Linked DNA regions of Sus scrofa. The protein of the gene in region 2 purifies or fractionates together with the protein of the main gene of each other region. This does not show direct contact. Links are inferred from orthologs where the notes say so. Each region holds a gene or a part of one and is shown on either strand. Other genes may lie near its edges. The genes, in order: ARHGEF2 and ANKRD28.

Region 1 (3,815 bases), on a different chromosome or scaffold from region 2:
GACACAGGTTCAATCTCTGGTCTTGCTCAGTGGGTTAAGGATCCTGCATTGCCATGACCTGTGATGTAGGTCACAGACAGGCTTGGATCCGGTGTTGCTGTGGCCATGGTATAGGCTGGCAGCTGCAGCTCACATTCAACCTCTAGCCTGGGAACCTCCATATACTGTGGGTGTGGTTCTAAAAAGACCAAAAAAAAAAAAAAATCTATTTCTACTTGCAGAGGCTGGAATCATGGACTTGCTGGAACAGAGCCCCTACATTTTTTGTTTCCTAGAGTTCCCCTGCCCATTTACCAGCAGACAAAACAGGAAGTGCCCTGTGCCCCTCCAGGAGTTGCTGTAGACCTTGGTGTTTGGTTAGGGACCATCCTAAATGTTTCTGTGCTCTACGATGCAGGCTCCGTTTGGAGACCATGGCTCAAGGGTCTGTACCCAGGTCGCACCTCCTTCTATTCCATGTGGCCACCAGGGTCTCACCTCGTGGACTATGTGGCGGAGACAGACGGCTGCTGCTACCTTCCTCCTCGCTGCCGGTGTCAGGGTCACTGCTATCTTGCAGCCGCTCATCAGGGCTGCCCAGCTCCTGCCTCTCTCGATCCTCGAAGGGTCGATGGACTGAGCGAATAGTCACAGGCAAATCCAGGCGGTCGTGGCCTCGGCTGGGCTGTGGACGGCAGGTAGGAAAAGCAGGAGGCCAGGGAATGAGCAGTTCGAAGACTCTCTTGGTACATCTACTACTGACTGATTTCTTTCTGTCCCTGTCTAAATAGTTCAGTCTTCCCATCAGTACTCTAATATCCATCAAGCCTGATGCCTGAGTTCACTTGGGCTCAAGTCTCCAATTCCTTTCAGGTTCTCTCGTGGAGCCTGAAGTCCACCCCAAGTCAGGTCACTATTCCAAGCTTCCTTACCTGTGGGGGAGTGAAACTCAAGTACAGGGCATCGCCTGCAGGGAGGCTACGACGCCTCGGATCCAGAGGCCTGCGGGCCCAGGGGGCCTCAGCCGGGAGTGGTTCCGTGTGGCCCAAGGCGGCCAACTGCCTGCGAGCCTCTTCGACCTCCCGCTCCAGCAGAGCTCGGGCCTGCTCGCTTTCCCGGAGCCGGGCTTCCAGGCTGCCAGCCTCCGTCGCCCGCTCTTCACCAAGCCGCCGGCAGCGCCGAAGCTCCTCTTGCAACAGTGCGTGTTGCCGTTGCAGTAATGCCAGTTCTGTAGCCTGCTTTTCAGGAGCCACAGGGGCAGCCCCGGCTCTGCCAGCCTCCCCATCCCGGGAGTTGGCTCTGGTCAGCTTCTCCCGCCGCTCAGGACCCTCAGGGAACCGAGCTTCCATCAAAGTGTCCTGCTGGGCCACAGCCGCCTGGGGGTGGAATGGGGATGGATGGTGTATCAGAATTCCCCGTTTCTTCTATCCCCTGCCCTCCCTCCTCAGGGCCCAGGTCAGGATTCCTGTAGGCCTCGAATCAGGGGAAGGCTTACAAAGGTCTGTTAGGGTGATCGTGCCCCACTTAGATGGGCAGCCCTGGTCAGGCACCTCTCCTTCCCGTTCTAGCCCTCACCCCACTGACCTGTAGGCCATGAAGAAGTCCATAGAGATTGACCAATCGCTGCAACGCTTCCTGAGGACAGAAGAGAGGGTGGGAACAGAGTCCAAGCTTCAGGATGGAACAACTGCCCGGAAGTCAATTAAGTGTGGGGGTGGGGAAAATAAGACTGCAGGTACTTGGAGGTGTACGCTCTCCCCCATGCACTCCAAACCGGGCTCCAGTTTCTCAGATGAGAATACCCCTCCCTTCAGTCTCCTATACCGTCACATCCCCGTCTCACCTCCTGGGGAGATCTCAGCTGGTTTCCATTTCGATCCTGCAGAAACAGGCAAGGATGGGGAATCAGCAGACACAACTTCCCGGGGCCTGTCCCTGAGAGCTCTGTGTCAGGATCTATAGGCCAGCTGTTCCTTTCCCGCCCCCTAGCCAAGTCCTGACACCTCCTGAGACCCACCTTCTGGCTGGAGTCTGAGTCAGCTCTGCAGAGCTCTATCGAGCCATTGAAGGTTCTGGCCTCGCCATCTGTCGAGAAGGGGAAAAGATGGGCCCAGCTCACTTTCCTAGGGCCCTGGCACTGCTCGGTCCTTGGTACCACTCCCTTCTCTTTAACCCTGCCCACCTGCTACCTTGGTCCCCTGCCCTGGTACTCACTGGCAGTGACCCCAGGACTCGTGTTACCACCACTGTCCGTTTCCACGGGTAGGGCTGGTTCCCGGGAAGTCAAGAGCAGCTCCACTCCAGGCCCCACCAGCAGGTCTTTCAGGCCCTCCACTGAGGGGAAAGAGGGAGCGGTGAGAAAGGAGAAGCAGAGAATCCAGTGAGCGGCGGGACGGCATTCACCCAGGATACCAGAATGCAGACATCTAGGGGACTGCCCCCTGCACAGGCAGTGGGGTCTCACTGCCATGGCCACGTACGAGGCAAAAGTCATTAAAGATGCTCAAGGAGTAGCACAGGAGGCATGCAGGATGAGAGGTGTCAACAGCAGCAAGGACCGTGCCTCTTCCCCGCCATCCCCAGCCCCTGGCACAGAGCAGGTGCTCAGGGGAGTTGTAGACTATGGGGCTGGCCTCCCCCTTGCCCATGTGTGTCCAGGTCTAGCCATGTGTCCGTATGCCATGACAGTGAGGGGACGAGTCTGGGCTCTTCCCTGGGCGCTCCCTCACCCTCACGGATGGCATCCTGCAGCAGCCGCTCGCCACGAGGTGACTCAAGGGACTCAGAGCGGAAAAGGCCCCTGGGCAGAGTGGGCAGGGGCATCCCACCACCGCCATCCTCTTCCACCTGGAAATGGGTCATCTCGGCAAACAGCCCAACTTTCTCCTGCAGCAGCTCCACCAGTGCCCGGTCTTTCTGCTGCAGCTCCACTGTGGATGAGAAACAGGTGAGCACACAGATGGGCCTGGGGGCACCCAGGAGAGCCAGTAGTCAGGAGGCAGCCCTAGGGGTTAGGAGCCAGGCCTGGGCACAGTGGCAGCACTTAATTTTGGCTTTTTGGCATTTACAAAAAAGAAAAGAACATTTTGGGGGGAAAAGTAAAAGTAACCATATACTTTTGGGGTTCGTTTGCTTGTTTTCTTTTTTTGGCCACTCTAGAGCATATGGAATACCTGGGCCAGGGATCAGATCTCAACCATAGCTGTGATCTATGCCACAGCGGCAGTATGCTGGATCCTTTCACCCACTGTGCCAGCCCAGGATTGAACCTGCGTCTTGGCACTGCAGACACACCACTGATCCAGTTGTGCTACAGTGGGAACGCCTGCACTTTTGTTTTAAAAACAAAAGTAAGGAGTTTCCGTCATGGCTCAGTGGTTAATGAATCCGACTAGGAACCATGAGGTCGCGGGTTCAATCCCTGGCCTTGCTCAGTGGGTTAAGGATCCGGCATTGCCGTGAGCTGTGGTGCAGCTCACGGACACGGCTCAGATCCCACATTGCTGTGGCTCTGTTGTAGGCCGGCAGCTAAAGCTCTGATTAGACCCCTAGCCTGGGAACCTCCATGTGTCAAGGGAGCAGCCCTAGAAAAGGCAAAAAGACAATAAATAAATAAATAAATAAAAACAAAAGTAAAACTATCGTGGCAGGGACTGCAGGCTGTCCGCTAGTTTTCATTCTCTCCATCTTCCTTTAATGGGAGAATGTGTACAAGTTTCACTTGGGCACATGGCTACCCATTAGATGCCATTTCCAGGCCTGGCTTGCAGCTGGGCATTGCCATGTGACTGAATTCTGGCCAACGGATATCTCTTCCAGATCAGCTTTTAAAAGAA
Region 2 (3,815 bases):
TGACAAAGGCTCCTGCCCTGGTGGATCTTATATTTATTCTAGTGGAGGAGACACCCAAGATAATTAAAAAAGCAAATTATAAACAATGTTAGAAGATAAGCTCTATGGAAAAAGAGAACGAGGAAGGAGCAGAGCAGGTTAACTGAGAAAGAGGATACAGTGGGGTGTGCAGCGGCTGTAGTACAAAAAGGGTAGTCAGGATGGCCTTCATTGAGAAGACGAAACTTCAAACAGGTGAAGGATTTAGTAAGACTGTTGGGGGCAGAGTGTTCTGAGTAGAGGAAACAGCCAGAACAAAGAGGATCACGCATGCATGTCCCGGTGTGAGGAGCCGGCGTGGTAGAGGGAGATGGGGCAGGAGAGGATGAGATGAGGTGAGAAGGGTAACGGGCCACAGACTGATCCAATAGGGCGCAGGAGGTCATTTAAGGATTATCAGTGAACTGAGACTCCGAGTAGTATCTCCTCATGTTTTTTAAAAGGATCCCAGCCAGGGTGGTAGGAAGAGAGGAAAAAGAAGGGGCCTATTTTGAATATACTCTGGAGGTGGCTCAACAGCAATATGCTGGCAGATTGTACCCTGGTGTGACAGAGGGTCGAGGATGACTCAAGGTTTTTGTCCTGAGCAACTGTAAGGATAGGACTTGTCTTCAGCTGAGCTTAGGACAGCTGTGGGGAGAACCCACTCCACAGAGGGGGGAGAAAGGATGAGCTGCTCAGTTCTAGACACGTGTCTTAGACATTCACATAGTACGTTATAATCAAACCACATATACTTCTTGACTCTCCTCAAATGATGTGCACCTACTGATCCAAGGAACAGTGTGTAGCACAGTGATTTGGGGGAATATTGGACACTAGCTATGGTAGACTACAACTTGCACAGTCTTTATTCATGTACATTTTCGATTCCACTTTAAAAGCCTATTCCTATTTTTAAAGAAGGAACAACTAGTTGTGTCAAATTCTGACATGTCAAGTAAAAGGGAAACTAAGAATTGAAACCTAACACTGCATTAGTCACTGGTGATATTGATGAGAATGGTTCCGTGGTACCGTGGGGGTGAGGTCTGGCCAGAGGGGATTTGGCAGAGAAGGAAAAGAAGAATTGCGGACAGTGGGAGAGCCAACCCTTGAGTAACTGTGATAGTAAGTGTAACAGAGAAGCACGGGAAGAGCTGGCAGAAGGAGTGGGATTAATAAAATATTTAAGATGAGAGAAATAATGTTTTTATCCTGATGGGATGAATCTGGAAAGATTCCTACAAAAAAAAATCATTACCACAGGACACAAAATCAAAGAACTTCTAAAGTGGTAGTCTCGAGTAGGCAAAAGAGATCTAGTGCATAAATAGGAAGATTAGTTTTAGATAAAATCTGCAATTAAGTAAGGGCCTTGAAAAATATTTGTTGACAGAAGAAATCTGTTGAATACTAAGATAATCAACAGTGATATAACTAACATGAAAGTTGACACACTCTGATTTAATAAATATGTGAAACTCAGAGGTTCATCTTTTGAATGGACTTTTCCTGTTCTTTGTCCTTATGCCTTTTGCACAAAGTCAGTCCTATTTAATATTAACTTCAGCTCTCCTCGTTGACCAATAAAAGCTAGCCACATCTGTTTTACTTCAAATATGGATCACTCAAAGATAAAAGCTTCTCACAGGTTAAGGAAAGTGAATTAGAAACTACTTACCATTTTCATCTACTGCAAGCACACTTGCTCCTTTTCCCAAAAGTTCTTGAACCACCATTGTTAGCCCGTTCCGGGCAGCAACATGCAGAGGTCTGGGGGGGGAAAATACGTGTATATATACATACTTGTATGGCTACACGTGTGCACGATTACTTCTCTCTCCCTCTCCCAAGCCTGGCAGTTGAAGAGCATTTTTTTTTGCTGGGTTGTGAAGACTCAAAGATGCAAAGTGGAGACACCTGGTCCTGGCAGCAACAAAAATGGGAGTGGGGAGGGCAGATCCAGCGTACAAGTGCCTCATCAATGTGCCCTGCCTGCAGCACTGGACCCGTCAATGAGTCCCACCTTCACCAAACCCTTTGTAAGTTTCCTTTAAGACTCAATGTTTGAAATGATTCTACTAACTAAACTGCACTCTAAGTTGTTTTAAGAAACGTGGCTAGCAAACACGTATAATAACAGTTCCTGCTGTGGTGCAGTGGGTTAAGAATCTAGCGTCGCCAGTTGTGGTATAGATCACAGATACTGCTGGGATCCGATCCCTAGCCTGGGAATTTCCACATGCCGAGAGTATGGCCAAAAAGCACAAAAAACAAACCCCCAAACAACCGCCCTCAAGGCCCCCATAACAAAAACAAAAATAAATAGAATATATAATAAAAACTGTAAATCGCAATAGCACAAATTCCAACAGGCTTTGAAAACAGTTCATAGTTCATGACTCATTTTTGGACGCTTAAGGGATCTGACTGGTACCTGAATAGGAAACAGTTTTATAAGATTTTTCTCTTTACTAAGTCTCAAAGCAGAAGAGCAAATGGAAATTGGGAGAGGAATATGGAGAAGGTGACCCAAGATTTAAGCAGTCACCTAGAGGCTGGCTTCTCACATAAAGAACTTGATTATTTCTGAAATCTCTCTGCTTAGAGACACAAATAAAGCTTTAAACCTCATTAATTGCTAATGTTAAATAAGGTACTATTTCAGTTGACTGCCATAAAACACACAGAGTCGTATTATTTTCCTCCATAAAACTGGATTGAGAAATAACTCATTATTTTCAATAATAAAGTTTCAGTTCAAAAGCTTTTCTATTAATATGCCTATTAGTTGTGATGCTTTTAAGAAATAAGCTTTATCAATTATAAAAACTGCCTTTATTTTTTAATTGACAGCCTCATTCCAATGGTCCCATGTTAGAAAAAAAACCCATTTATCATCTAATTAGGGGTCACATGGTTTACACTAGACACTAAAAGTACTCACGTTTGCAAAGCTGCATTGGTTGCATTGATGAGGTTTCTATCTGTTATCTTTTCCAGTATTAACAAGGCACTAGTTTCATGACCCTAAAATGATGGCAAATAACTCTTAAAATGTGGGCACCATTAAAGATATAAAAGATATTTATACACTAAAAACAATTCAACCCTAGTCCATAAAGCATGTACATCACCATACACAGGCCATGCATTTTCTTAGCTAATGCCTTAAATATCTGTCCAAACATGCACTGGTGTAATGGGCTTAGTTAAGAGTACAAGAATATTTAAGAATAGAGAAAGACAATAATTACATTTAGGCCTGTGCTCCAAAATTTACTTGGCTGCTGCCTGGAAACTTTCACATTGCATGGTGCTTAATAAGTCAGCATTCCCCAGCTCCCCCAAGAAATCTGATGCCAGTGATTATAAGAGAGGACTGGTTCCTAGCTCTGTTCATTTTAGTTAAGTGGAAAAAATTTAAATGCCACTGTTGATATTAACAATGAAAACATACCCTTAAGATGTGTACATACCTTGCTGCAAGCCAAATGGAGGGCGGTGTTTTTACTGTTATCTTGTAAAGTCAGATCTGCACTAGCACTGCTAACCAGCATCTCTGGGAGGAAAAATTCTATCAACTCTTTTGTTTATGAACATATAGCTCAGATTACTAATAACTCACTGTAGAGAAATGAAGACAGAAAGGAAAAATATCCCTCTAGCAAAAACTTAAGCACACACACAAAAAACCCATTGTAATGTAAAGGTATATACTATATTGGCATACTCTTGTGTAAGCAACAGACATGAACAAAGCAACTAACATTCATTTTGTGAGTGCTTACTAA

Evidence for each region.
Region 1: the proteins of ANKRD28 (region 2) and ARHGEF2 purify together in Homo sapiens (affinity purification with mass spectrometry; 3 studies listed by BioGRID and IntAct, with this or other methods). This does not show direct contact. The link is inferred for Sus scrofa from reciprocal best matches to the Homo sapiens genes ANKRD28 and ARHGEF2.

Annotation. Positions count from the first base shown.
Region 1 is NC_010446.5:94,074,693-94,078,507, reverse strand, and holds part of ARHGEF2 (rho guanine nucleotide exchange factor 2), read right to left. Parts: intron 2,910-3,815; coding exon 2,709-2,909; intron 2,314-2,708; coding exon 2,194-2,313; intron 2,065-2,193; coding exon 1,997-2,064; intron 1,859-1,996; coding exon 1,823-1,858; intron 1,615-1,822; coding exon 1,564-1,614; intron 1,356-1,563; coding exon 912-1,355; intron 665-911; coding exon 478-664; intron 1-477. UniProt on the Homo sapiens protein: Activates Rho-GTPases by promoting the exchange of GDP for GTP.
Region 2 is NC_010455.5:2,928,470-2,932,284, forward strand, and holds part of ANKRD28 (serine/threonine-protein phosphatase 6 regulatory ankyrin repeat subunit A), read right to left. Parts: intron 3,584-3,815; coding exon 3,501-3,583; intron 3,052-3,500; coding exon 2,969-3,051; intron 1,795-2,968; coding exon 1,703-1,794; intron 1-1,702. UniProt on the Homo sapiens protein: Regulatory subunit of protein phosphatase 6 (PP6) that may be involved in the recognition of phosphoprotein substrates. Involved in the PP6-mediated dephosphorylation of NFKBIE opposing its degradation in response to TNF-alpha.